Elephas maximus indicus: one gene and its partners. The protein of the gene in region 3 interacts with the protein of the main gene of each other region in a pairwise test. Links are inferred from orthologs where the notes say so. Each region holds a gene or a part of one and is shown on either strand. Other genes may lie near its edges.

Region 1 (10,029 bases), on a different chromosome or scaffold from region 3:
TAATGCATTCTCCTTCCAAGGCACAAACTGGGGTGTACTTTGATGTGGATGGGAGACTAACTTCAGGAAACCCAGCTGCTAATGATGTATCCTGTTCTTCTCATCCCTGTCCTGTTTATTCTATAGATAATAAATACCTGTTGCTCACCCCATTACAAGTATCTGGTCTGTGCTCTGCTCTAAAAGATCTTTAAGAACTTTTGACATTGCATGTACACATGAAATAGCCATACCAGTCAAGACATACATTCTCTGTGGTATTCTGTGTAACATTCCAAATAAAGGTCTTTTTGTGCCAATGTCATAAAAGCTCAACTGTAATAATCCAAATAGCCTACTGTATCTGTGTTCATATCACTATTAAAACATAAATTAATGGCAAAATAGGCAACAATTAACATTAAAATTTAAATACAGACTTCATAAAACCCATGGCCAAAATTATTTCACATGATTCAACTTACACTGACTCTTCAATAGGAGATATGGACCCATCATCATCTAAGTATTTGTATCTACGACTATCAAGATCTTCTTTTTCTAAATCTTCGCCAACATTCATTTGTTTCAAAGATTCCTTGAGGTGGTATTCATACTTTAGTTTTTCAATGTAGTTGAAAAATCCTCTTGCTACAGCTTGCTATAAATCAAAAACATATACTAAGACATGGTCTTTCAAAATATATTTTCTTTCATGACTCAGCAAATGACTATATTCAAAAGGGGGCAAGGATTCCCTTACCAAGAACTTATAATTACTGGTCATGGTTCATTCATTCAACTGTAATTAACACTGCCAGGGTCACTGAGAAAATAAGACCAAAGGTTCCTCCCAGAAGCCTCAGTGACAATTTTATCAAGTAGCTAAAGAATAAGTATACTTTGAGCGGAAAAGTAGTTAGTACAGTATCAAAGCTACAGATCGGATGAACACATAAAAAGCTGAAGGGAAAATATACTCCAGATATCTTTAGAGAATTCTAAAAGTGGCCAAAAAAACTTTAAGCTACAACCTTAGCTATGTGCACAGACATATTTAATGCTGACTCACCTCAAAGGTTAAAATTTTTTTCCAAGGAAGTGGGTTTCTTCCATTCTCTGATTCTAAAAACAGGAAAGCAGATCCTTTATTTTTTAATTGTTTTTTGTCTATTTGTGAGCTTTTAGTGCTTTTCCTTCCTTTTGGTCTTCCCCTTGGTCTTCCTGTTGGCTTATATTTTCTCTTTTTTTTACGTTTCCTTTCCTTATATCTCTCAAAAACTGCTTTTAAAGTCAACGGTCTTGGTTCCACATAGGAATCGCTTGATGAATCTCTTGCCTGAACACTTTCAGATGAATGAACAAAAGTCCTTAGAGGGTTTTCTTGCCTCCGCTTAGGTGAGGAAGGAACACACTGAGTTTTAAATAAGCTGCTACCAGAAGATTCAGAGTTATCACTAGAAATAAAGAAAAAAATTGCATCCTCATGTTACTGAATGCGATTATTAATAACCTATCCCAAATAGACACTCCTCCCAAAGACCAAAGCAGGGATACATGCTCAGTATAATTTCACTAAAAAATGGAAGAGGCAGGGATGGGGCCAGGGTAACCTAGCCATTGAGTTCTGACCACCCTACATAAAATGGCCCACACAACTCTGGGGATTCAAACTGCCTACCTTTTGGTTAGCAGCCTGAGCTTTTAGCCACTACACCACCAGGACCCCCAACTGGGGGTGTATATGACATACCAGACAAGTATTTGATGAGAATATACTAATGCTGACGAGCCCCCACAATTCACGAAGTACTAAACACATAATTCATATACTTACGTCAGCATTCTACATTATGTGGAATATCTTAATGGGTTGATTTTTATGCAACATTCTCCACTGATGTCCATTTACTTGATATAAAAAAATGAGGCAACTTATCCAGGAAGTCAGATACTTTTGAATCAAAGTAGTTGTAATAACTCAATAAAATCACATAGATTTAATCTAATTTTGAAGGTCTGTGTAAATCAAGTTTTTCTTTCATCTTTCCTAATTTCTGAAAATTAACTCTTACCACTACTAATATCTACAACGATTTGTTTTCCTGGTAATTCGAATACAGTAAACATTAATGGAATCTACTGCTGAGATATTCCAGTTTAAAACAGTAACAGTTGATCTAAAAATGCAGACTTACCTATGATCCTCAATTTCTACAGCAGTAGCTAAATCAGATGTCATTGTGTAGCTGGGAGAATCCATTCCTTAGATAAATACTCCAAGTCCCTCAAGTCAGACTGTTTTATCCATCACCCGTTCCTTGCTTTAAGGGGATAAATTTCTGAAAATATAAATTCAGTAGATGTGATATAGCTTCCCTGAATAAACACTAAACTTCAGCACATAGATAGCAAGTATCTTAATACCGGAAATTTTGAAGTACTTTACACCATTAGCTGTGAATTTAGGCACAATCACTTGATTGAACAGGCCTTTAAAAGCTTCTCATCTAGAAAACAGTTTCACATCAAACTCTAAAAATGAGAAATTGCACTGACAGGTTCTATTCTGTCTTTCCAAATCTATTCAATGGTACAAGATACCATCCAGAAAAGTACTGTCATTCCCAGCAAAAGCATCCAACGTCATTCTAATTACCAATAAAAACTGTAATTTCACCAGGAGCCATGAGTAATATACAATTAATAGCCAAAAGGTTATTTCCCAAGATAGATAGGAACTCCTAGGAAAAACTGCCAGAAGGTAGACTGTGGTTCAATAGGCCTCAGTACACCAGGAAAAAGTCATCACCATTTACACCTGGATTCCATCACCATTTTCAACATCTGGTCTGGGACTTCACTTATGGTCTCTTAACATTAAGTAATTATGAAACCTTTTTTTGGTAAACGTTCCCATGTTGTCTTCATGCACAGAAACTGAGAATTGTGAATTTTCATTTCTTTCAATGAAAGGCTAAAACAGACTACTGAAGGAGCCCTAGTGGCGAAGTGGTTATGGTGATAACTGCTAACCAAAACATTGGCAGTGTGAAACCAGCAGTAGCTCTGCGGAATTAAGACATAGCAGTCAGCCTCCTAGAGATTTACAGGAAACCCTACTGGGTCGCTAGGAGTCAGAATCGGCTCCATGGCAGTGGGTTTTAGTGTCTTTTGTGGAGCCCTAGTGGCGCAGCCGTTAATAACTCAGCTGCTAACCAAAAGGCTGACAGTTCGAATCCACCAGCCGCTCCTTGGAAACTCAACGAGGCAGTTCTACTGTCCTATAGGATTGTTATGAATCAGAATCGACTGGATTCGAAATGAGTTTGATTTGGTTTTTGTCATTTTACAATACTTCACATATAATGCAATTGAAAAACTGAAAGATGATTTCCTAAGCTCATCTTCCTTACAGGATGCCATCATTCTATTTTTGTATTATTTTAGCACATAGGAGTCCCTGGGTGACAAACTCTCAAGTGCTCTACTAGCCAAAAGGATAGTGGGAGAAACCCACCCAGAGGAGCCTGAAAACCACAGGGAGCACAGTTCTACTCTGAACACATGGGGTCTCAGATGGCAACAAAGAACAAGTCTTCAGCGTACTTGGAAATCGACAAACTGCGTAACGATGCAATAAATTGTCATGATAAAACAGCAAAATGTTCCAAGTCTAGGGAAACAATAAGTGCTGCAATCTAGAAACTTGTGAAACTGCCCAACGGACCCATGCGGTAATCTCAAAACAGAATTTTTAAAGATTTTTTAAATGCAAAATTCTAAAACCGCTAATAAGCTATGAAGTACCAACTGCTCCAAATCAAAACCCCAAAAATTTGGATCCAATGGACCCTGACAGTATACCTGGAATTAAAACACACACACACACACACACACCGAGCACTCACCAAAATAAAGCTAATTTAAGTCACTTTATCAGAACCTGCTCAACTAGCATTCGTACTTGTCTTCCCATCCAGGGATTTTGCGGTTCTTCGAAGCCACGTGGCAAGCTAGAGCGCTCGGCCAGATCTAACACAGAGCACCCCCACGACCACTCACAACCGGGTGACCTTCGGCTAGGCCTCCGGGAACACCTAACCGCACGCCAAAAACTGGCGTCAGAAACATGCCGGCGTTTGGCATACATCTTAACAGCTACATACCAGACCAACGAAACAGGCCCACAGGCGATAACCGCGATTGTTCGGGACTCTGTCCGGCCATTAGGCCCGGGGAAGCCCTCCACCCTCAGGGCCTGATTTCCAGCGCTCGATTTCCCCAAACTACGCGGTGGTCCCGAGGAAAACTAGATCAGCGGCCTCTCCCCCGCCCACCAGACTGGTAGGAAGCAAACGCCCGTAAGCACTTCAGCCCAGGCCTCGGGCCAGAAGCCTCGGGTTGACGCGGCGGAAGTGTCCCTGAAGTCTGTACCTAGCACCCAGCAGCCTCCCGCTCCAACACGGCACCGCGCAGAAAACGGCCTACCTCTCTCCAACCGTTCGGAGGAAAGGGAAGAGCTATCGCGCGACCCGCCTAAGAGTGGGGCCGAAGTCTCGCGATACAACTGGACACCCGGGCGACAGCGAGAGGTGGGAGGAGATGAGACTCCCCGGAGCCATTTAGATCAACGCCAGGGGAGGTGTGATAAGAAGTAGGCGGAGCCTGAGGTCGTGACGTCAGGAGGTGGGGTTGTCGGAGGGAACGGTGAAGATTAAGTTGAGGCTTCCTAGACCGAATTAGGTAAGTGCAGTAGCCAAAAATATTTTGACAAACGGCAAAAACAAATTGTGGGCGAAAGGAGCGGAATGGATGTGAACTGCGAGGAAAAAAACCGTGAATTGTTTCCGGTGGTATCGCATTCGCCCTGCTGTCGTCTGACTTTCTAAAGCCTGGTACCGGATGGTGTGTGTTTTTCTTACATGCCAAGCTGTAGAATTCTAGGTTGGCAGATGAGTTTGGGTTTCTGTTCAGGAATGTGAAGCATCCCTTTTTGGCAGTTTTTGACATAATACTTTTGCCTTCAAATATCTGTTCTGTGTTAAAATATTGGGAAAGGTTCATGGTTTGACCGTTATCGAAATGTGTAACCTTTGTCCTGGACTCCAGTCTTACACCATAGCACACCCAGTTTCCCTCCAGACACCTTCAGATTCGTTTTGTTAGCCTCACCATTCCTTCTAAACTAAGGGTCAGCCTCCCAGGAGTTGGTTAATATACCACGAGTTACCCGCGGAGGAATTTTTTTTTTTTTGCAGTTCCCTCACCCTCCTCCCCTGAAAAAAAAAGTTCCTTGACCGGTTGCGGAGTGTTTAAGGTACAGCAGCTAAACTAGTTGATTTTTTTTCCACAAAGTAGTTAAAAAAAGAATGAGTCGGTTTGATTATTTTCCGCTTTCTTGTATAAGCAGTGATGTTGTCTAGTCTCCGTTTATAGTCAGCGTCATCCCAGGATTAGAAAGAACTTTAAGGGTAATCTGGTCTCTTTACCCCATTTGGCGCCAGATATCGAACAGCTTCAGGTATAGAAAGTCTGATTCTGTAGGCAGCCCACTGCATTTGACCCACGGAGTCTATGCATGTCTTATACACTGCCCTGTTCAAGGAGCATACCCGGCTATAGAATTTATGAGGCCCAGTACAAAATGAAAATGCAGGGTCCCGTGTTCAAAAAGCAGGGAAAAAGCTTTTCCTTCCGTGGTCTCTCTCGACTTGTTATGTTTTTTATTTGCTGTGTAATGCCATTCTAAGTAAAGAAAAATAAAAATTTAAAATTGTTGGCATGAATTTTATCATTTATCTTTATATTGTGCAATGCCAGTATTAAATACAAATCTAATAACATTTAACTCTTAGGCAGAATCACTGAAACGTCACAAAATTTGTATTTCATAGCTCATACAAATGTATGTTTTGTTCTAGTAAGAAATACCTTAGAACAGTAGAAACGCTGTGTAAAGCTAACTCAACTGTTTTTATTTCAGTTCTTGATACTTGCACGTTCTGCCAACACTCTGGAAGCCAAAGATTTTGAGGCTTACTGAATTCCCATGCATCTTGGGTCCATGATTCCAACTCTTATCAATGCTATTTATCAGAGTAGAACTGCACCTTAGGGTTTCCAAGAATGTAAATCTTTACAAAAGCAAATAGCCACATCTTTCTCTGGAGAAGCAGCTGGTGGATTCAAACTGCTCACCTTTTGGTTAGCAGCTGAACACTTAACTAGGGATCCTCTCTGCTCATAAAAACCAAAATCAAACCCTTTCCAATCTAGTGTATTCTGACTATAGTAAGCCTCTAGGGCAGAGCAGAACTGCCTTATAGGGTTTCCAAGGAGTGGCTGGTGGATTTGAACTGCAGACCTTTTGGTTAGCAGCCAAGCTCTTAACCACTGTACCATCAGGGCTCTTCTCTGCTGCTTATAAAAAAACAGGACATCACAAATGCTGTCTGCAAAAGTGGTGGCAAGGACCCATGGTGGGCATGCATGTCGCAGTGCTCTCCTCTGCTCCTGTGCATACCCTGTTGTCTCTTTGGAGTTTATTTGCAAAACCCAAGTTCGAAGACAAAATTATTTAAAAAAAAAAAATTTCAAGATGGTGACAGCAGAACATTTAACCAAGTGCCTTTCTGAGTGCATGGCCCTGTGTGACTGCACTAGTTGCACACCAGTGAAGCTGGCCCTGTACCAGAGCTTTATGAGTCTGGTGTGTTGTGAATGTAATGCCCGCTGTATGCTACAAAAAAAAAAACAAAAAACCCAAACCTGTTGCTGCAGAGTGAATTCCAACTCATAGTGACCCTATAGGACAGAATGGAACTGTCTCATAGGGTTTCCGAGGAGTGGCTGATGGATTCGAATTGCCAGTCTTTTGATTAGCAGCCAAGTGCTTAACCACTGTGCCACCAGGGCCCCCAATGTATGCTAGGTACTTGGAATACAGATATGAGAAACATAATCCTATCTTCAGATCACAAACTATGGAAAAGAGAGCAAGCAAACAGATGTACATAGATAATACTTTGAGTGCTATAGGATAACTCTGTACAGATTATTCCTTATTTTCAGCTGAAATGTATCAGTCCTTCACCAGTTAACCAGCGTGGAACAGTGTCATGAGTTCTGGTTTTATAGTGGGCTAGACCTGGAATTCTGTTTCTGCCATTTGCCAACTTAGTGAACTTAGATAAATAATACATCCTCTCTGACCTATTTTCTCTTTTGTGAAATGAGAAACATAATACCTCCCTGTCATGGTCGTGAGAGGTTTTGAGAGAATGTCTGGTATAAGGCTGCGCTCAGTAAATGGTAGCTTGGTTGCCATAGTTGGTCTACCCTTTTGGGGTGTTCTTTCTGCAACCTGACTTACCCAACTGCCTCCTATTTCTATTCCCTATTCTAAACTCAATTTCTGGGCCATTAACTCCAACGAATTGTATTGGGAGGGTAAATATTGTTTGCCTACATCTGCTCCAAGGCTTTCCTCTTGGAGCCTTTATGAATTTATATTAAGACCTTTCTAACCCCCTAGCTCTCATCACTCAAACCCTAACAACCCCCTGCCCTCACACACATGTACACACACATACTACTACCACACTGCCTTCTGTGCTAACTGTTGGCCTGTCTGAAGTTGTACATTTCTAAATCAATCATTCAGGCTGTAGCCTTGCAGGGTTGGACTTTGTTTGGGTGGGGAAATAAAAAACTGACCTTCTAGAGTTAGTAAAGGGTATAAAATTAGGATTATATTTGAATTTTCATTTGAGTAATTTCTACTGCAAACAAAGATATTGAGTGCTTTTATTATCCTCATAAATAAAAGCTGGTAAATGATAAAGCACTAAGTGCTAAATGTATGCAGTACTATGTTTATAGAAAATACTTGTCAAAAATGATCAAAACTAGAAACCCAGTTTCTAGGAAACCTGTGAATCTTTGGGGAATTAAAAAAAAAATTTTTTTTTTTTTCAAGTGATGTTGGGGGGCCAACCTTTCACTTGCTAAGTAAGCTTGTTAAAGTCAGAGGCTAATCCAGTTAATGAAGTGTTTTATTAACAATTTTAACAAGAACAACAGTGCTCTTAGAAACTCCCATAAGGGTTTTTTTTTCTTATTCCTTGTCGTGACTGGCCTAGTGTAGGATTACCCGCCCACTTCATATTGCGTCTGTTGTTTGTGGAGTCTTTTTTGGCTTCATTTTATCTCCCTCTGCTGGTACACCTCCTCATCATGTGAACCCTTGAGGTAAGGTATTAATCGCTGTGTATGTTTTTATGTATGCCTATTTATTGGTACATGCACTTAGCATATATTTTTAAAATACCAAATTATAATTGGTTAAAGATTATCAGAATAATTGAACAAAAACCTGCTTACTATAAAACGTATATTTGTAAATGAAAGTAAAAATTTGAATTTCAAAAGCTGATTATTTCTAGAAGTTTCCATCTCTTTTAGTACTTTAGATTTTCTTTTGTAAAAGTGATACTCTAAGGAACTGAATTTTTAACCTAAATGTCAAATGTAGAGTAGAACACACCAATCATCTATTATAGAAATATTTGCCAGTACCTTTTGCTTCAGGACCTGTATTCCTTACACCAACCATTAAATCGCATGTCAATCTTTGTGTATGACTAAAAAAAATGAATCACATGTGATCTCTTGGTTTGGAGTTTCCCCTTCCCAGTCTGTTTAAAATGACTTAAAATATCAGTATTAATAAAGAGTTGCTTGTGAGAATAAAGTGTTAAGAGATATGGTTGCCTTTCTGTATGAACAGAAACCTAAATGCCCTTTTGTCCTCTTTTAATAACTAAACTCTGAGTGTTCAATTCCAGATCAGCAGCTGTTCATGTTTGGTGCACTGTGGACTCTCGTGAGAATTAGCCTGCAGTAGCTTTATCTGTACAACCTTACACCTAAAGAAGAAAGAAAATGGCTTGTGTCGAGTCTCCTTTTCATGTGCCAAGCCTGGAGGAGCTGGCTGGAGGTAAATACAATAGAAACTCGTTGTCCTTTTCCGTGTCTATTCTGTACTATTTCTATTCAAAAAGTCTAACCTCCCCCCGGCAAAAAAAAAAGCTGTTAGAGCAAAAATTCACCATTTATAGATTCTTGGTAAGATCCCAGTTTTACAGGAAGAAAATAACCATAGTAATCTAAGTTTTAAATGTGTGCGATACCCAAAGAGTTGTACAATTTTGTGTTTTATTATCATTTTACCAGTTACAATATTCGAATATATAATCTATTATTGCATACTAACCATGTTCCCAATATAGTACTTTTTTTCCCCTTCTCCTCATGTGACAGACTGACAACGAACTTCCTTAGATTTCTCTCTGAAGTATACTTTTATGTGTATCACCTTGTTCAAACAAGAATTTAAAGCAGCTTTTTTCAAGATAACACATTGAAGGAGGAAAGATAGATAAGAAAAGGAAAATATGAATACAGATGGAAAGTGAAGCCAGGAATAGTTCTAATTCAAAACTGCATGGCCTGTCACAATGTCGACGCTTTTTTTTTTTTGAGCCATTAGGTTCTATTCTGATGGTAACTATAAAGCCTACCCTTATTGCTCAAAGTGTATCTGTCCTGAAGAGGTTGAAGTCAAAAAGTATACTTATCTTTTGCTTGGTTGTGGCTTTTTTCTTAGAGCCTGCCTGTTTTTTTCCTTAAATTTATCAGCAGCTAGTGAACAATCTGTATTATTAGTGTTTTTTACCTGTATTTCTTTTCTATCAGTCTTTCTGCCTTCCCGATACAGTAGGACAGCTGGATTGTGATACAAATCTTCTCTTTGAGTGCCTTTCTGCCACTTACTTCTCCTGCATGTTTATGGTTTATTTTCCTTCTATATGTGTAGGATATATTCAGTACAAAATATGTAATACAAGTTTTTTGGCTCAAAATTTATTTTCGACTTTCAGTATTTCAGAATATCTTATAGCAAGAATATCTTATAGCAAGAACATGGTCCCTTTGTAATTGGTAAAAATAGATTTTACTATTTTCTACACCCTGAATCTTAATTTA
Region 2 (10,127 bases), on a different chromosome or scaffold from region 3:
GCTGAGAGATCTGACCAGAAGAAAGGCATGAAGCTGGAATATTTAGAAAAAGTCAGGATGGTGAGGTGCAAGACATACCTACCCCCAACAAGATCTTTTAAAGTTACTTAGGACTATGACAATATTTAGGGCTATGATACTCCTAGGAAGGAAACAAATCTATTTCTGTGACAAAAAAAAATTTTTTCCTAAGCAGAGAAAGGAATATCCCCCTGCTTGGCCTGTAGCATAAAAGCTGACTGCACAGTTGTCACTATACAACAATCACCTCTTTCCTCTTCTGCTGTTCCTTTACTCATGTATTCTATTCGTTTCTCTTCTCTGCCCTTGTTGCCAGTCCATTCCCTCTTCTGTGCTCTTGACAAGGGGGACCCAAACAAGAATCCCTGGGAAACTTAAAAAATATAGATTCTCAGGCCCAATCCCAAACTTTCTGAAACAGAAGTGTTTGGAAACCGCTATCTTATATCAATTAATAGCACTCAGAGGCTCCAAAGACTTTAGGGGATACCAAGTATTAACCTCATATTTCAGATACAGAAACTGAGGCTCAAAAGGTTTAAAGGCTTTTCTCATGGTCAAAGATGAATTGCCAAACTTCTCTTTTTTTTTTCCTTTTAGGAAACAAACCAATTATTTTTCACTCTTTCTAAATAAATAATATGTACATGCACATATAAAGCAAAATGTCTAGTACTGAATAGCTGTTTGTGATTGAGAAAAAAATGTTACAAACTGATTAACTAGCTTAATTGCGTACTTCACAATTCAATCATTTTGGAGTATATGTAAAAAGCCAGTCCATCTGTAAACTCTAAAGTCAGATACTCAAGAAAAATTTTTAAAAATCTGACCCAATCCCTACTCCATAAGCAGACTAGACAGCACTTAGCTTACTTTTAAAATACTTGCCTAAAATGTATCATATAAACAAATGCATGTTCGCTAAAAGTCTTCTAGAATTATATCAAAACGACACTGAAACCTATTTGCTGAGAAAAGCCTACAGAATTTAATTCCTGATTTGAACTACCTAGTTAACAGTGCAGAACATTGCTGAGTGAGGAGGATCTGAATACAGATGTGGTTGACATGAAGACCCAGAAAGAGTTCCCATCTCCTCTTCAGTAGGCCATGATCACACTTTAGATAGTCTTTTGACGGGCTGTTTGTAAATGAATCCACTTTACAATAGCTGTACGCTTTAAACTATTTATGACAAACTCCAACAGCATTACTGTTCTCTAACTAAAACACACTGATGGTTCAGAAAAGATTTCTTGCAAAATACATTAATAAATGTCACTGCATATTCTGTAAATACATTTAACATTGTTAGACCAGCCCATCAGTTACGGGCTGCCGTATTTCAGTACTTGTGTCAAATTTATTAGAAATTTTATAAGAAAACTTCTGATTGACTCAGCTGCCTTTATTAGCTGACTTTAAAAAGTGTCACAAAATGGAAGACAACACCTTACAATAAATATGTGGAGTTGATTTAGAAAAGTAAACTGTACAGTGGACAATATTACTATCAGAGTGATCACCAAAATGAAATGCCTTCCAGTACAAAAAAAGGGAAGACCTCTATACAAGCAGTTATCTCAACAATTCCAATTAAAGATTCATCTCTCACTTGTTGCTGGCAAAAATTAATGGGTAATGGCACTGTTTCCCAGCAGTGCAAAAATATCCTGAGAAATTACTCAGATTACAACAAAAGAAACAGAGCTTTTATCCTATGGTTCTGCACAAAACAAAGCTACTAGATATCATAAATAAGCTAAGTTTAAAAGCAGATAATCTTCACTGTGTTAAACACAGAATAACAGAAAAAAGGTGTCTATAACTTTTGAGTTAACTATGGCCAATAACGGAAACTCTGGTGGCGCAGTGGTTAAGAGCTAGGGCTGCTAACCAAAAGGTCCGCAGTTCAAATCCACCAGGTACTCCCTGAAAACCCTGTGGGACAGTTCTATTCTATCGAATAGGGTCGCTATGAGTCAGAATCGACTCGACAGCAAAAGGTTTGGTTTTTGGTTTCAATGGCCAATAATATACAAGGAGATAATCTGCAGTTCAAGTTTTCCTCTGTTTTCTCTCCCAGAAGTTACAATCTGAATTCTAAATTTTACACCAAAACATACAATTCCAATTTCCAAAAAGATCTTACTTGTAGAGGAATGCTATTCCAATATTTGGTGCAATCCTGATACAGAGCCCAACAGTCCTACAAAAAGTGAGCTTTTAAAAGTAAACCAAAAAAAAAAAAATCATTGATTTGTAAACTTTCACTTAAAGCACAATAAAAATTATTAAAAAATATATATATATCAGCGGTAGCCCAAAGGTCCTAGCTGTCCAGTTCTGCAATTCTTCAATGGGCTTGAGGGGTAAGCTAAAGGTAATAAGCACTTTACTTTCTATAATTCATTTTCTTGTTGGCATAGTCACTTCTACAGTAGCTCATATTCCTGACACTGGGAACTCACAGCATCTCTTTATTGAGCAAGCAAAGGAAATCAAGTGGACAATGGGGAACCACAGGATTTCCATCTTCACATCCCCGGTTAATGAGCTCATTCATTTAATGACTGTGTATTTCCAAGGTCCTTTGAATTCCCATACCCTCACCAGTTTTTTAGCTTAGGTACTATTTTTTAAAACTCTTTCCAGTTTCACTAGATAAACTTGTAAATGCCCTTAAGAACTGTGAACTCCTGGTAACCAAAGATTATATCTTATGATGCTTCTTGGAAAAAATCTCATCAACAAACCACAGACTTCCTAACATACTCCTTATCTTCCCCTACCCCTATCCCACAGAAGGAGAAATGGAAATTGTTATAAGGGAGTTAAAATTATCAAACAAACACACACACATAGACACAAACACAGGGTAAAGCCATACCAGAAATTAAAATACACAAAACAGTAAGCTAATGTTTCCTTTTACTGGAGAGGACAGTTTAGCAGGAGGGGTAAAATCGCTTAAATAACATAATCCACTTCCAATCTTAACAATCATATTTAAAGAAAGAGCACCAAATCTGGAGGCAGATGACCAGGTTCAAGAACATCTGGGCCAATCTCTTGGTTGTGGGATCTAGGTTAAGTCACATAATCTGAATCTCATCATAACTTTCATTTCACAAGTGGAAAAACTCCCAGGGTTGTTGAAAGGGGCCAATGAAAATCTTTGAGAAAGCGTCATAAACTATAGGGCACTATAACACTGCCTTTTTTAATCACACTCCACATTGTCTGGTTTAGGTATCAAGACACCACAGTGAGGATACACAGCCACAGACCAAAATAACTAGTTCATTAGAATCATTTCAAATGGCCTGAAACACACAGGTCTTGTGCAAAGACTGTGCAAGGCAGTCCTGGCAGCTTCTACAAGGAAATTATTACACCTGTGCTTCTGACGTGACAGGTAAACTCCTCGTCCAGATTAACCAGCTGCCCCTAGAGCTGATCCCTCTCAATCGCGTAGAAGTCATGATAGTGATTCAAAGGGCACCACTTCCGACTGTGAGTCAGTAAAAGGGCTTACCCCCCCCAGGGAATGCCAATGGTCAGCACAAGGCCCCACGCCGGGCACCAATCTCCGACGTGCGCGAGGGTCCGGTCCTCCCAGGCCCAAAAACCGATGGACCAAGCCAGGCTGGCGGTCAGAAGCTGCAGCGCCAATTTTACAGCCGGCCCGAAGCTGCGACCCACGGGGTCACCTCACCAAGCACCCTCGTGATATTGGGAGGGAGTGGGCCCAAATGAGCCCATCAGGCCTTCCTACCTCCCTGCTGAAATATCCTCTTGAAAGCGGCGTCTCCAGCTTTCACCCTTACCTGTCACTTTCCCCACGCCCGTCCCTGTCCCCCGGTTCCACTCCTTGGCCCCGTCCCCAGCGTCACCCCGCTTCCGGCTGCCCCCCACCCCGCAGCGCCCCGGGCCGGCCCTTCTCTCGCCGTTGGTTGCCCCCGAACCCCGGCGCCGCACCAGGAACGCAGCGGAGGGCAGTACCCGGGCGGAGGTCAGGGCCCGCCGTGGGGGTAACGCGGCCGGATGAGCCCGGGAGGAAGGCCTTGGAGGACGTGAGCCACTCACCAGCCACGGGTGCACTGCGCCGGTCCGTCAGTGGCACCGCCGCCGAAGCCGAGAGCGCGAGCTTGGGGGCGGTCGGACGTGTACACGCAGCGCGTGGGGGCGGGGTCTGTGGAGCCTGTGCTGCGTGGGGCGGGGCGTGGGAAGGATACGCCCCCTGAGGGGCCGTTTGCCAGGAACCGGACACGCAGCCCTGGTTTGGCTGTGGAAATAGGGATGCTTCAGAAAGAATGCTAACATTATTAATAAGAGCAAATGTTTATGAAGACGCCTCTGGGCTACGCGCTTTGCTTGCCCAATCTCATTTAATGCTATTAGATCCATCCAGTTATGCAAGAAATCGAGTCGTCAACCTTAAACACCATCCTCTTTTCCTTTTGCCAGTTCAATCCTTCAGTTCTATGCGGCCCTGCTGCAAACGTATTCCTCGACTCTGCACGCTTCTCTACATCTCCTCTGCCACCAGCCTTCTATCTGGTCTCCCAGCGTCGGCCTTGCCTCATTCTCCAAACAGCAACCAAGGTGATCTTTTAAAAGTCAAAATCAGAGCATTACTCCTCCCCTCTTGCTAAAACCCTTCCACAGTTCCCCATCGCTCTTAGGACAAAGGTCAAAATCCCAGCCATGGTCTACAGTTCTCCTCCCCCTGGCTAGACCATGCCACCACCTCTTCAGACTCACCTGACCTTCCCTCCACCTGCCCTTTCTGCTCCAGCCATACTGACTTCCACTTATTTCCTTAACCATCAGTCAGCATACAGATTAAAAGATGCAATATTCAGCTTTGGCAAACCTCCTACATGCTGTTCGTAGGAGTTATTGGAGATGGAGAGAACAATTTGACAAGATCTGTTAAAATTTAGAATGTGCACACTCTTTGACCCGCTTCTAGGCAGCTATCCTAGAGGAATACTTGCAAGAACTCCAAGAAAGTAACAAAGAAGGGTCATTACAAAACATAATAAGAGACTCCATTTTTATGAAAATTTTGGAACAACCTAAATGTCCATCAAAAAAGGATGAGAGAGTTGGCAGTGGTCATCCATTCAACAAATAAGTTGTGCCACAATTTAAAGAGGGGGGGCAGACCTCACGTAGTGAGGACATGGAAAACTCTTCAAACATAAAGTAGAAAAGAGGAAGGAAAAAAAAAGTCGTAGGAAAATACATTCAATAGATTCCACAGCACATAAATTAAACTAAAAAATTATTGAACACTAGTTAATGATGTGAATGATAAAGTTTTTAAGGGCAAAGAGTACTAGCGCCTGCAACTTACTTGGAAATGCATCAAAAGATTAGATGGTTGATAGATGGTTAGATGGAAAAAGATATCTGATAAAACAAATATAGCAAAATTTTAAAAATTAAAAAAATGTAAGTGGTAGGTATACAGGTGCTCGCTGCACAGCTCTTTCCACTTTTCTCTATACTGTACTTACAAGTTTTCAATAAATTTTTTTGGAAAATACACTCAGTATTGATATGGATTGAATTGTGTCCTCCCCAAAAGAAACATCTTCCACACTAACCCCTATACTTGAAACATGATCCTGTTTAGAAATAGAGGCTTTCTTTTGTTTTTAATGAGGTCATACCAGATCCCTTCTGAGTGGTGTCTTATAAAAAGCAGAGGGGACACAGAGATACACAGAAAGGGAAGACAGACACATTTACAATCAGCCAAGAAATGCCTGGGATTACCCACAAGGAAAGACCCTCCCCTAAATCCAATGTTCTGATTTAGGCTTCTAGCCTCCAAAACTGTGAGACAATAAATTTCTGTTCTTTAAAGCCACCCACTCGGGGCAGCACTAGCACAGTAAAACAGGTTGATCTCTCTCTCTCTCTTTTGAGTCTATGAAATTATTATATATTTCTACATGTTCATGTGTAGGTATATAAATACATCCAAAAACCCCAGAACGTTTACACACTAAAATGACAGAGAGGTCAAAGTCCACTTTTGCTTTACATATACCATTTAAATTTTTTAATGAGAATGCATAAATGCGTTATGTATTACTTGGCTATAAAAAAATAGATTTTAAGAAAAGGAAGTACATTCTGCACTTCCCTCTTTTCCCTACTCTGGCCACATAAAATTGAATTAAGCTGAATGGCAGTGATTGAAGGAGCAGTTGCTGTGAGAGTTCAAATGAGATAATGTGGGGCTTAGCTTATGCCTGCCACTCGCACAACCCCAGTCAAGGGCTCCCACTGTTATCATGAGTGTATGCCACTGAAGTCCTTTGTCAGATACAAAGTCACACAGAAAGTGCTGAATCATGATAGGGTGCACCAGCCAGTAGCTAATCTCTCCCCTCATGTCTCTGGGTTGTGGGTCGTGGGCTGCTTGGGGCCTTGTCTTAGTTACCTAGTGCTGCTACAACAGAAATACAAGTGGATGGCTTTAACAAACAAAAATTTATTTTCTCACAGTTAGGAGACTAGAAGTTCAAATTCAGGGTGCCGGCTCTAGGAGAACTTCCTTCTCTGTCAGCTCTGGGAGAAGTTCCCTGACTCTTTTCAGCTTTTACTCCTGGGCAATCTTCATGTGGCTTGGCATCTGTCTTCCTACATCTCTGCTTGTTCACTTGTTTAATCTCTTTTATATCTGAAAAGAGATTGACTCAAGACACACCCTACAATAATCTAGTTTTGTTAACATAACAAAGAACTCATCCGCAAATGGGATTATAATCAAAGTAGGGGTTAGGATTTACAACACATATTTTGGGGAACACAATTCAATCCATATCAGGCTTCAAAAGGCAAGACCTTTGCCCCAGCCTGTCAAGCTGCCAGCCCACTTCTGGAAAGTCTCTGGGCACCAGCACCACTGGCTGGCAGCCAAGGGTAAGCCACTTTTTGCCTGTCCTGATTTCTAAGCTTCAGGTTCAGCAAGGCCAGAAGGCACTGGGGTTGCTCTGGTCCTGACGCGGCCCTGGAATTTTACTCTTAATTAAACATGGGCATGTAACCTAGGCAATTAAACTGGGTCTCATGCTCAGAAGAACTTTAAGCTTGGTTTAATGCTTTGCTGTTGCCATCTTGAAATTCTCAATCATTTTTTAACAAGGGCATTTCATTTCCATTTAGCAGTGGGCCCCGCAAATTAGTTGCTGGTCCTGCTGGGGACCTTCTTGTTTGGATTTATTTCCTTAAAACAGAGGCCTGGGAACTTTGGATTTTGTGGTTTAACTCCATGCAGCTGAAGAAAAACTGTTACCAGAATAAGGTTCTTGCCTCTCTGGTCAAGAATGAGCAGGTAATGTTACAGGGCAAGGCTTCCCAGCCCAGGACTAAGCCCTGCCTAGGTTCTTACCTTCTTCTGAGCAAGAATGACCAGGAGAGCCTCAGAGGTTCCACATGAAAAAAGTTTATTAGGGACAGAAAGAAAGTAAAAGGCTCATGAAGGAGAGAGAAGGAGAGGGGTTTCCACCTACACTAGCCTCCAGTCTCTCACTGAACAAACGATTTCCTAGGACTTATAAAAGTTCTTAGGAGGGGAAAAGGCATTACTTTTATTCATTAAATGAGTGGAGATTTCCAGGAGAAGGGGAGGGATTATGAAAATCAAATGCGCACGCAGTTAGAATTCAAGATGGACTTCCTGACAGAGGTTGCTGGAACCAAGATGGAGGCTGTCACAAAGGCTGTTGGGATGTCGAACAGGACTTATTCTGGGATGTCGTGCATGCATGATGCCCCTGGATCTTGGTTCGAGCCCCAGCGAGTGGTCTTTGTTCGTGTTTGTCTTACGTGGAAGGTCATTCATAGCCCACGCCGATCTTTACCATGCATGCGCTGCACCTAGTGAGGCCTTGAAAAACAACTGAGGAGAATTATCAGTAATTTATAGCTGGTCAAGAACACAGGGGCTTGAAATGTAGCCCCTTATCTTGTCTAAGCACCTAGTTTGTTAATCACAAGTAGTTCTTGGGTGCCAGCAATAGAAGTTATCTGGTAGTCTGCACTTAGGTTTAGATTTAATTATAGCTGGTCGAGCACCACACAGGGCCTTGAAACGTACCCCTCATTTAATTCAGCCAGCCTGATCTCTTCCGTCTCTGTGAGGCACGTAGAGTTTTCCACAGGAGCAAAGCTTTATTGAAGAGGCTTGCAAGTAGAAGACAGGCGGGCCTAAGCAACCCATATCCCCATCTCACAGAACAAAAGATCCGCCCGGGGTTTTTAAAAGTTCTTGGGCGGGAAAAGATTTATGTTTATTCACAGGCATACCCAGGGTTATGTTAACTACAGCGCGCGGGCAGCAACTTTCCAAGGTGGCTGCTGCCCTGGAGGCCTCTGGGATTCGTAGCAGGACTTACTATGGGGCGCCGCGCCTGCGCAGTCTCCTGGCTGCCACTGCAGCCCTTCACTGCCCCTGGTGGAAGGTCACACAGTGGTCACAGGTGGATGTTCTGCACATGTCCCTGGGGCTGGTTTTCTCCAGCTGCTTCTGAAAGACTACTTTAAGGTTTATGGGCTATTTTCTGATACCCTGCCCCATTGTTCTGGGGAATGGCTTTGTTTCTGCACCCTGGCCCATTTCTTGTTACTTTGTTTGCAGATTTGGGGGGCTCTCTATTCCCTGTCTTAAAACCTCATCTTTTATCAGATTGATTTGTACTTCATTTTTTTTTTTTTTTTACCATTGACTAGGTATTTACTGAATTCCTACTATGTGCTGGACAATGTACTGGGAGGTAGAAGTACAGAGACAAACAAGACATGGTACCAGCCCAGACTAGGGGTCAGGGAGGGCTTCCTGGAGGAGGAGATGCTTATATGGAATTCTGAAGAATGAGTAGAAGTTAGGTGGTGGTCTAAGCACAGAGGCATGACATACTATGGTATGGAGGAGACTACAAGGGATAAGGAAAACCTGGTGGGGCAGTGGTTAAGAGCTAACCAAAAGGCTGGCAGTTCGAATTCACTAGGCACTCCTTGGAAACTCTATGGGGTAGTTCTACTCTGTCTTATAGGGTTGCTATGAGTTGGAATTGACTGTAACAGGTACAGGTACAAGGGATATACACAAGATAAAAACAAATAAATGTTACCTTCATTTATAAATACAAATATAAGTAAACATAAATGCATGCTTATTAAAATAATACAGTGCATGCATTTTATAATAAATAAAGATCGATATTTTACATAAATAAAATAGACAATACCTTGTAGGTTCTCTCTATCACAGGACTATAAAGTCAAACAGACAGTTTTAGTTTGGTTTCACTTTTTTTTTGTTTTAAATAATATTTTATTGTGTTTTGATGAAGGTTGACACAGCAATTTAGATGCCCATTCAACAATTTCTACACAAATTGTTCTGTGATCTTGGTTACATTCTTCACAATGCTTGAACGTTCTCATTACTTCCATCTGGTTGTTCCATTCCCATTAATCTAGTTTCCCCGCCCCCTTACATTCTCATCTTTGTTTTAAAATAATTGTTGACCATTTGGTCTCATATATGTGATTTTAAAAACGAGCACAGTACTTACGGGTGATGTTCATTATTTTTTAAGCCAATATGTTATTTAGCTACAAGGTGACCTCAGGGGTTAGTTTTGGTTCAAGGTTTTATTACCTGGTGGAAACCCCAGGTCCTGCTCAGTGCAATCTGAATTGGCCAATAAACGAGAGGCCGAGGTGGGACAGCAGAAAAGGTACTTTTATTTCATTGTGCAAGGAGTCAGTAGGAGCTGCTGCTGCCAAGACTGCTCCTCAAGGGCAAGGGGAAAAGTTACTTTTAAGGGGTTTACAAGTTGGAAGTTCATACAAGTTATATCAGCAACATTTAAGTATGATGGAGTTTACATATAGTTTGATGTATCACCAGACCAAGCAAAGGAAAAAGGATTCTAATGAAAAGCTGGGTGGGGGGCGGGGGGCGGGTGTGGGTGCGGGTGCGGGACAAGCCAAGTAAAGGAAACAGGATTCTGAAGCAAAGCTACTTGAGGCAGTGGCCTGGGGATCTCTGCCTTAGTTTGAAGAGTATCTCA
Region 3 (10,018 bases):
CCCCCTCCCCCATCCTCACCTCCTCTCTCAGCTGATTATTCTCCTCCTCCAACAGCCTCAGCTTCTGCTGCAAGGCTTCCAGCTGTGGGCAGTGGTGCTGCGACTCCTTCAGAGGAATCCTAGGGGAGGGAGTGACGGGAGTCAGCGTGCACGGAGTAGGGGTACCCAGTTCCCAACCCACCGAGGGATTCCCCACCTATGCTAAGTGTGGCAGTCCAATTCATCCCAGCAACACTGCTGGCAGGCACACTGGCTGTATGCCTATTTACAAATGGGAAAATAGGCTCAGAGAAGGGACCATCCAGGTGCAAATGCAGGACACTCACGGCTTGGGGGTGTCATGGGAATAATCACACTGCTGCTCTTCCTCTCCCTCCTCTTCCTCCTCTTCCTCTTCCTCCTCCTCCTCTTCTTCGTCCTCCTCTTCTTCCTCCTCCTCTTCTTCCTCATCATCAGAGTCTGAGTAGAGCTGAAGGAGGTCATCCCGCAAGCTCACCTGGTGTCTGAGGTGTAAAATCTGGCAGGAGGGGAGAGGAGCCCTGAGTTGGGCAGCAGGCAGGGCAGGAGGCCAGGTCCTGGCATGAGGGGACAATAGGTAGGTCTGAGACTGCATACCCCTCCCTCCTACCCTCCACCCATTACCTCCTTCCTGGCTGAGCCCAGCATGGCTTCCAGCTTGCTGTTCTCCTCCATCAGAGCACTGTTCTGTTTCACCAGGGACTGGCCAATGCGAGCCGCTGTACTCAGGTCCCGCTCTCTCTGCAGAGGGACCATCACCCATGAGGAATACTTTCCTGGTTCCCAGGATCTCCCAGACAGGTGGGAGAAGCTGGGGGGCACAGGGGTCAGAGAGAGGCTAGGCCACAAGGGGAAACCCTCTCCATTCCCTAGTTCTCCAGACACTAATCAGGGTCTGCCATTAACCCACTGTGGAACCTGACTCAGTTTCCCCTTATAGAAAAAGAACAGATCAGACTAGCTTGGCTCTAAGAGCTCTTTCAGCCTGGACCCCTACCCCACAGGACAGAATCAAAATGAGGGCCAGGGGCTAGCCTGGGAAGGGAAGGCAGCACACACCTCCTCCAGCAAAGTTAACATCACTTCGACATCTTCCTGGGTGATCTTCTTAAGTGGTGGGGGTCGGTCAGAACACAGCACTGTAGGAGAAGGCAGGATGGTGAGAAAAGTCTACAAGTGCCCCCCCACCATAATCCATTCCTTCCTGTCCTATCTCTAGTTTTCCCTCAACAAGGCCAGCAGGCTGTTCCCTACCTGCCTCCCAATAACCTCCCCTCACCCCTCAGTACTCAGCACTCCCAGACTGAGCATCATTTTTTCTGGAGAGGCCTGGGTGGGGCAATGGCGTCACTAGGGTTGGGGTTACCCAAGGCAGTAACTCATCCTGTCACCCCCCCCATGCTAATTACTACAATATTTTAGCTAAAACACCAGGAAAATTGACAAAAGCAGCAACTATAAAAACATTGGTAGCAACGGAAAACAACAGCACTGAGCGCATGCAGACGAAACCACGTGATTTGAAGCCATCATTGTAATTGGGTAATAATTACAGCTCTAACCAAAGCAGAATTAGAAGTTTCAAAAAGTAAATTAGCATAGAGTTTTAGTCTTTGTAGGCGTATTGATACACGTAAGCTGGGCTTACGAAAAACATTTTTATTTTTTTACAAAAAATATTTTCATTGTGATAACTAACTACAGCGAATTTGTTTTTTTTTCCACAAGTATCATTTTATGTCTTATAAAAAAAAAAAAAAAAGTCTTATAGTCCAGTCTAATCTTTATTGGTTGGTTTCAGGAATAGTTTTAATTCTGGGTTAACAGAGAGTCCAGGGGCCATGTCTTCTGGGGTTCCTCCCGTTTCAGTCAGATCATTAAGTCGGGTCTTTCTACTAGAATTTTGAGTTCTGCACGGCACTTTTCTCCTGCTCAGTCAGGGACTCTGTTGTGTTCCCTGTCAGGGTGGTCATTAGTGGTAGCCAGGCACCATCTAGCTCTCATGGTCTCAGGCTGATGGAGTCTCTGGTTTATGTGGCCCTTTCTGTCTCTTGCACTAATATATTCCTTGTGTCTTTGGTGTTCTTCATTCTTCTTTGCTTCAGGTAGATTGGGACCAATCGACACATCTTAGATGGCTGCTCCCCAGCTTTTAAGACCCCAGACACCACTCACCAAAGTGGAACGCAGAACATTTTCTTAATAAATTTTGTTATGTCAATTGACCTAGATGTCCCCTGGAACCATGGTCCCCAGACCCCTGCCCCTTCTACAGTGTCCCTAGAAGTGTTTGGTTGTGTTCAGGAAACTTCTTAGCTTTTGGTTTAGTCCAGTTGTGCTGACTTCACTACAGGGATATTTTTATAAAAAATAATAATTTTTGCTGAAACACTGCACAAAAATTCTGTAGACATTTTGGTGTCACCCCCGCTGACAGTGTCATTTGGTCCACACCCCCCTCCCCGCCGCCCTAGTGACACCACTGGGGTTGGGGAAGGGGATCACAGTCCACCACGCTCAGGTGGAAGTGGGCTCTCAGGACGCCTGGGTCCTGGCACCCAGGAGAACGGAGGCAGCTGGGAAGAGACAGCCGGAAGACTGATTCATCACCCCCGGGCCCCAGGGCAACCTTGGCCAGCCCATTGGAGCCTTGTGGGTCATAAAAACAGTGAGGTTTGCGCAGTCACCCACCCCGCACCTGTTTGTGGGGGGAGGAGAGAAGGAAGGGACTTTTCTATAGCACTGGAGGAGGGGGGACCTGAGCCTAAAGGGCCCCAATTCACAGACCTCCCCCTACCCCAGTGGAAGAAGAGAGAAAAGAGGAGACCCTATGCCCCGCCCACCCCCGGGCTGGGGGAAAAGCCCGCCCTTGACCCTGGAAGCCAAGAGGGTGGCAAAACCTCCCCCTCTATCCACCCACCACCCCCTCTCTGGTGAGCGCAGCGGCCAGCGCAGGCTCAGAGCTCGCCGGCAGCGCCTCCGCAGCCCCCCGCCTCTCTCCTGGCACTGCGGTAGACTGGGGAGGGGGCAACAACAGTGCGCAGATGCGCCGCGGCAACAGGCGGGCGGGGGGGGCGGGGCCCTGTACCTCAGCGACACTCCGCCATCAGGGATGCTAGAAGGGGGAGGAGGAGATGGGGAAAGGGCCACCAGACAGGCACCGCAGACAGTGACATCGCAAGAGTGGGTGCAGGGGTGGGACTGAGTGGCAGAGGAGGCGGGGCGCCTGGCCCCGATCCAGACCCCTCCTCCCTGGAGCTGCTCTCGTCCTACCCGCTACAGGGTCCCGGGGACCCCGTTTACCTTCCTCCAGCTCCCGAACGAAGGCGGCGCGCTGGGGGCCGGACACCCCGGGCCGCCGGCCGATATAGGCAGCTGGCGTCTTCCAGATGCCCGCCGCCTTCTCAGTCCCCAGGCCGGCAGACCCGGCACCAAAGGACCCTTGGAATATGAAGCGGGTCCACGGCGCGTCCGAGTGTCCGGGCACGGACTGGACATCCCCCTGGATGGCCGAGAATGAGGACGCGCGCGGGGCTCCCGCCTCGGAGGCCGGGCGAGCACCGGCTGGGGGTCTCGACCTGGGTCGGGACTCGGAGGCTGCTCCGGCTGCGGGTCCAGCCCCGGGTTCCTGCGCCGGAGCGGGGTCGGTCTCGGCCGAGGGCTCTGGATCGGGGCTGGCTTCGGGCTGGGGTGCAGGGGCACCTGCGTCTGGATCCGCGGAACCGGGGCCTTCCCCGGCGCAGGCCTGCTCGGGGTCGTGCGGGCGCATCCTGAGTCCGCAGTCGGCTGCAGCAGCCGGGACTTTATAAACTGTGTCTGGAGCGGCGGCCGCCGGGCCGTACCACACGCTGGGAGGGGACGCCGAAGAGCAACCAGTGGTGCTAGGGACGGGGGTGGAGCGGTGGGGGTGACCGTGCCAGAACGGATGGAAGAAATCAGGAAAAAAGGGCACGAGGAAGAGTCGAGCGAGGGTTTCAGCTGGTTCCACGGGCTTGGGGGTCGGAGAAAAGGATTTCTCCCCCCTCTCCACCTTTGGAGAATGGTTCCGCCCAAAGCCCCCCTCTTCCCTGGGACTCGGGTACAGCGACTGGCGCGGGTCGCCAGTAGGGGCTCGAAATCCACTCCCACCAAGGGGGTTTTCAGTTGCCTTCCCTGATGTGTTTCCACCCATCCACCAGCCAACGCAACTCTTTAAATATGGTCTGGGGCGACCTGTGAGAGCAGTGGTTTGTCTTTTCCCGTTGACTGAGAGAGAAATCCAATCTCCAGGCCGGCTTTCAACTCCCTGCCCAGCCTGGCGCGTCATATTCTTTCCTCGTGCTTTGCCTTCTACTTCCCTTTTCCCACCTCTTGTCAACTGGGCAAACACCTGTTCTTCCGAGTGACCCAGCTTTAACGTCCCCTTCTTGTGAAGATTCCCCTGACCCCTGTAGTGATCCGTGTCTGTCTCCAGGACAAGGCCTGCGCCCCCTCAGGGCGGAAACCGTGTCCTAGGTACGCAGCACAGGACCTGAAGCCCAGGCAGGTGCTAAATGAACTGTGGAACCTCAGAGGAGTCCAGTGGCTATGTCTGTGCCTTTGGATGGGAGGAACCTACAGGCCGAAAAGAGAGGGCCGTGGCCCTGATTCTTTTCAAGTCGTGGGGTCATTCTTGGTGCCCTCGTTTCCTTCTCCTCAGCTCCTAATCACTCACCAAGTTCTGCTGAATTTGTTGTTGTTGTTGTTAGGTGCCCTCAATTCAATTCCGGCTCATAGTAACACCATGTGACAGAGTAGAACTGACCCATAGGGTTTTCTGGGTTGTAATCTTTATGGAAGCAGATGCCCAGGTCTTTCTTCCACAGAGCTGTTGGGTGGGTTCAAACCACCAAACTTTCAGTTAGCAGCCGAGAGGTTAACCGGGCTCCTTCTGCTCAGTTTACCTCCTAAATATTTCTCAGATGTGCCCTCTCCTTTTCAGCCCTTCCACTGTTTTCCAAGTTGAGGCCTCAGCCTTTCTTCTGAGATTATTGTGACATGCCCTTCGTGGTTGCCCTGAGGAGAGTAAATCTATCTCTCATACTTCTATCTGAGCTAGGGAATTCCAGGTGCCCCTACACACAGCCCCCACTCCTAGCCTAAACCCAGAACAGGGGTTGTTGCCCATGGCCTGTGCCTGGGACTTCTAGCACTTGACAATGTGCTTTTGGGGCCAGGTGTCCATGACACAGTATGGAACAAGAGACATGACCCAGGAAGGAGGATCCAACTGTCCCTTCTGCCAGTTCCCTAGCTGGTGAAACATAAGAATGTTTTCTTCTAGGTAGTTTCATTCATTCATTTGACAAAAATATGTGTTGAGTGCCTGCTATATATGCCAGGCACTGTGCTAGACTGTTGGGTTAGAGCAGGGAATGAGAGAAACTGACCCCTGTTCTCTTGGAGTTTAGAGTTAAGGGGGCAAAAGTGGAAGCAGGGAGGTCTGTAGGAGACTGTTGCAATGTGCTACAATCATTGATGTGTAAATATAATTTTGTGTTAGAGTCACTTCAGCACACATCTTTAGCCATTTCATATCACGTTACCTCATCCATCCATGCCCACATTTGTGTATGACCAGGATCTTTGCCATCTCTTAAAATGAGGTAAACTTTACGAGCAGTGAAATCCTCAGATGTTAAATGAACTGTTCAGTCAGTTTCAACAAATGCATATCAAGACGGAATGTTTCCATCAACCGGAATGTTTCTTTTTGCCCCCTTCCAGTCAGTTTCTCACACCCAGAAGCAGGGCTTCGAACCAGTTCTGCCTGGTTTAGTCATGGACAACAAAGTGATACCTGAAGGGACTCAAATTTTTTTAAATGTGGGTAAAGTGGAATGGGAAAAATTATGGGTTGAAATCTTGCTGCTAGAAACTTAATCTCCATCTTAGAAAACAAAGGCAGCGTGCACACTGCATAGCAGCCAAATCTCTTGGCTGGCAGAGTTGGAAACAGCACTGCCCTGATCAAAGACGGTGGCCAGCCTAGCTGTTTTGAGTATGTGTCTCTCTCCACAGTCCTGGCAATAATCCAGTCTCCAACTTCAGGCTCCAGAAAGGGCTCACTTTATTTCTTCTGAGTCTCCCATTCCAGGCCTTTGACCCATAATTTTTCCCGTTCTGCTATTGTTCTACTTCACCCAATTTTTTTTTATTGTACTTTTGATGAAGGTTTACAGAGCAAACTAGCTTCTCATTAAACAATATATATATATATTGTTTTATGACATTGGTTGCCAACCCTACAACATGTCAACACTCTCCCCTTCTTGATCTTAGGTTCCCCGTTACCAGTTTTCCTGCCCCCTCCAGCCTTCTCATCTTTGCCTTTGGGCTGGTGTGCCCATTCAGTCTCATTTTGTTTTATGAGCCTATCTAATCTTTGGCTGAAGGGTGAACCTCAAGAGTGACTTTAGTACTGAGTTAAAAGTGTTTCCAGGGGCCATACTCTTGGGGTTTCTCCAGTCTCTGTCAGACCAGTAAGTTTGGTTTTTTGTTTGTTTTTTTTTTTGAGTTAGAATTTTGTTCTACATTTGTCTCCAGTTCTGTCTGGGACCCTCTACTGTGATCCCTGTCAGAGCAGTCAGTGGTGATAGCAAGGCACCACCTAGTTGTACTGGACTCAGTCTGGTGGAGGCTGTAGTAGTTGTGGTCCATTAGTCCTTTGTGTCTTTGGTTCTCTTCATTCTCCCCTGCTCCCAATGGAGTGAGACCAACAGAGTATCTTAGATGGCTGCTCACAGGCTTTTCAGACCCCAGACACTACTTACCAGAGTAGAAGTTAGAACATTTTCTTTATAAACTATGTTATGCCAACTGAGCTAGCTGTTCCCTGAGACCATGGACCCCACAGCCCTCAGCCCAGTAATTCCATCCTTCAAGGAGTTTGGATGTGTCTGTGGAGCTTCCATGACCTTGCCTTGGACAAGCTGTGCTGGCTTCCCCAGCATTTCATTTAAATGCAATCACATAGCATATACTTCTTTTTTGTATGTGGCTTCTTCTACTTAGTATAGTATTTTTGAGATTTATGCATGTTTTACATGATTCAGTAATTTTATTCCTTTGTGTTGCTGAGTACTAGCCCTTTGTCTGGAGAAAGATATGGCAGTCCGCTTCCCTAAAGGTTTACAGCCTTGGAAACCTTATGGGGCAGTTCTACCCAGTCCTAGAGGGGCACTAAGAGTCAGAAACGACTCAGTGGCAATGAGTTTGGTTTTTTTAGTTTGGATCCCATTATATGGGTATACCACAATTTACTTATCTGTTCTCCCCTTGATGGATATCTGGATTGTTTCCAGTTTGGGGCTACTGTATATATAAATCTAGGCTGCAGCTCCAGGACTCTTCTGAGTGGCTCCGCTCCAGCCTCCAGCGCAGCCTCGTGGATCATCTCACTGTGTCTTGTACATACATCTCTGCAGCCCCAGCATCAAGCACAGACCTGGGCATACAGTAGGAGCCTATTAAATTCCTGCTGAATATATGTTTGCTGAATTGAATTGTCACTGTCCTATGAGAAAGCAGCCCTAAGGCCCTCTGAGAAGTTTGGGGTGAAGAAGGACGTAGGGTGGAGAAGAGGTGGATAAATCTGGAGGAGCTGGTGGGCCTCCAGTTCACCTCCGGGTCACGGCATTGGCACCAGGCAACTCTGGCTGACACCACCAGAGGGCAATGCCAACCCACATCCCCATCCCACACAACTCCCTCAACCCACAAGAGGCTAAGTAGGGAAGAAGGGCCTGGCCATCTACTTCTGAAAATCAGCCAATGAAAACCCTATGTGGATCACAAGAGCCCAATCTGCAACCCATCACTGGGATGGCACTGGACCGGTCAGTGCTTCATACCATTAATGACAGCTAACAACAACAACAACATAATGGAAAGACCAAGAACGGACTGGGTTCAAATCCCAACCTGCCACTTGTCATTTACTAGCTTGACTCCAGCATGCAGCCCTGCCTTGCTGAGCTTAGTTTCTCTGTGTGTGAAATGGGCATAAAAGCACCTACCTCACAGGGTTGGTTTGAGGACAAATGAGGTCACCGTGCAGTTCCATTTTAAGTGCTCCATCAACAGCAGTAACTGTTATTAGTGCAGAAGACAGACACAAACAGCCCTCCCAGCAAGGGCCCTGCTAGCACAGGGTCTACATAGTGCTGTGTGCATGCACGGAGAGGGAAGGGTTAAATCCGCTGGGGGGTGGGGAGGAGAGAGGGCTGTGAGCTGGACCTTGAGGGCTGTTAGCTCCTTAACCACTCCTGGAGGAACAGGTGTGATTCCAGGCACTCCCGGCCATTCCAGGCATAGGAACATTACCGCAGGTGTCCCAATGCCACCCCTGCTCCCAAGGGCCCACTGGGAGGCCTTGGGTGACTTCATCAGCCCTACCATGGAGCCCTTTTTCCCAATAAGTGGAGGAATCTCTCCCCTAGCCTTCCCACCAGCTGGCCCTCGAGTCCTTGCTTAAATACTTTTAGTAGCCTTCATTCTAGAAAAGTCTTCTTTCAGACTGCTGCTTTGAGCAAAAATCTTCCTCTTTGTAATACTCACCCCTATGCCCAATCCCACTTCCTAGTTTCCAGTTCTCCCCTCTGGGGACCCCCAGAATAAGGCTGTACTCTTGTGCTCTGAGGACATCTAATAGGTCTTCTGCTCATTTGCTCTTTTCCAGACCACCCATCCTCACTGATTTTATCTGGGACACTCCAGGCCAGCCCAGGGTTACCAGTGGGGCCACGACCTCAGGCAGGCTCAACTCAGGATCCCAACCTTGGGGCTGGGAAGTAAAGTGTTTTGGGATTTAGAGTCAGGCATTCTGGGTTCAAACCCAAGCTCTGACACTCACCTGAGTCTCCAGGACTTGTCCTGTATAATTTACCTTCATTTTACACACCTGACAGGGCTGTGGGGCTGAGATTGTGCTGAAAAACAGCACATAATGAGGGCTCAACAAATGGAAACTGCTGTTAATATAATTGTGAAAAACAGCAGACTTAGTAGGCACTGCCCACTGCCTGTTGCCGTCACGTCAGTTCTGACTCATAGCGTTGATAGGCCATCACTTGAATTTCCTCTACCGCAAAAGTAAAACGTAAAGTAAAATATCTCCAACTACAAGGCTGTAATGAGGAAATCACTTAGCGCAGAGCCGGACACAAAGAAAGCTCACTCAGTGATGGGTATGATCAGTGTCAGTAGTCACTGCCTCTCCAAGAGTGACCCCAGGTCAGAGCCTAACCCTCCAGGTAGGATTGCTGCTGCCTCTCAGTTAAGCCCTTCCAGAAGCCCCTGTTAGTAGCTGTTGAGTTGGCTCCAACTCATGGTGGTCCCATGTACAGCAGAACAAAATGTTGCTCCGTCCTGCACCATCTTCATGATCGTTGGTATGCTCAAGTCTATTGCTGTGGCTACTGTGTATTTTGAATGCCTCCCAGCCTACGGGGAGCATCTTCCAGCACTATACTGAACAATATTCTGTTATGGTTCATAGGCTTTTCACTGGCTAATTTTCAGAAATAAATCACCAGGCCTTTCCTCCTAGTCTGTCTCAGTTGAGAAGCTCTGCTAAAACCTGTCTACCATGGGTGACCCTGTTAGTAGTTGAAATACCAGTATCGTGACAACACTCAAGCCACCACAGTATGGATTGGTGGTCCCAGTACAGATGGGTGGTGATCACAGGCCTCTACTCCCGTCTTATCTAGGATCAAGTTTAAACACTTTGGTCAGACCACAAGACCGTTCCCTCCCCATCTGACTTTTGCCTCATTCTTCAGCCTTGTTTCTTAATTCATCACCCCCTCCCACTCACAGACCGGTCATACCAACGCATTGTGATTTCCTGAACTTTCCACCAAGGCTCACATCTTCCTGTCTTTGCTGTTTCCACTGCCAGGAATGCCAGTGCCCTCCCTGGTACCCAGTAAACACCTTCTTTTCTTCATATCTGAGATGCAGGTCAAATGGTACCCAC

The links.
Region 1: the proteins of HAP1 (region 3) and TAF1D interact in a two-hybrid assay, tested with the Homo sapiens proteins (2 studies listed by BioGRID and IntAct). The link is inferred for Elephas maximus indicus from reciprocal best matches to the Homo sapiens genes HAP1 and TAF1D.
Region 2: the proteins of HAP1 (region 3) and HMOX2 interact in a two-hybrid assay, tested with the Homo sapiens proteins (2 studies listed by BioGRID and IntAct). The link is inferred for Elephas maximus indicus from reciprocal best matches to the Homo sapiens genes HAP1 and HMOX2.

What each region holds. Positions count from the first base shown.
Region 1 is NC_064825.1:27,236,891-27,246,919, reverse strand, and holds the start of TAF1D (TATA box-binding protein-associated factor RNA polymerase I subunit D), read right to left. Parts: upstream 4,575-10,029; 5' UTR 4,471-4,574; intron 4,459-4,470; exon of another isoform or gene 4,149-4,458; intron 2,322-4,148; 5' UTR 2,243-2,321; coding exon 2,178-2,242; intron 1,437-2,177; coding exon 1,052-1,436; intron 641-1,051; coding exon 465-640; intron 1-464. Other genes in the region: C7H11orf54 (ester hydrolase C11orf54 homolog), read left to right, coding at 8,926-8,980. UniProt on the Homo sapiens protein: Component of the transcription factor SL1/TIF-IB complex, which is involved in the assembly of the PIC (preinitiation complex) during RNA polymerase I-dependent transcription.
Region 2 is NC_064830.1:62,537,474-62,547,600, reverse strand, and holds the start of HMOX2 (heme oxygenase 2), read right to left. Parts: upstream 4,176-10,127; 5' UTR 4,114-4,175; intron 4,055-4,113; exon of another isoform or gene 4,030-4,054; intron 1-4,029.
Region 3 is NC_064837.1:48,768,098-48,778,115, forward strand, and holds the start of HAP1 (huntingtin-associated protein 1), read right to left. Parts: upstream 3,797-10,018; 5' UTR 3,788-3,796; coding exon 3,322-3,787; intron 1,158-3,321; coding exon 1,078-1,157; intron 760-1,077; coding exon 643-759; intron 518-642; coding exon 327-517; intron 120-326; coding exon 20-119; intron 1-19. UniProt on the Homo sapiens protein: Originally identified as neuronal protein that specifically associates with HTT/huntingtin and the binding is enhanced by an expanded polyglutamine repeat within HTT possibly affecting HAP1 interaction properties.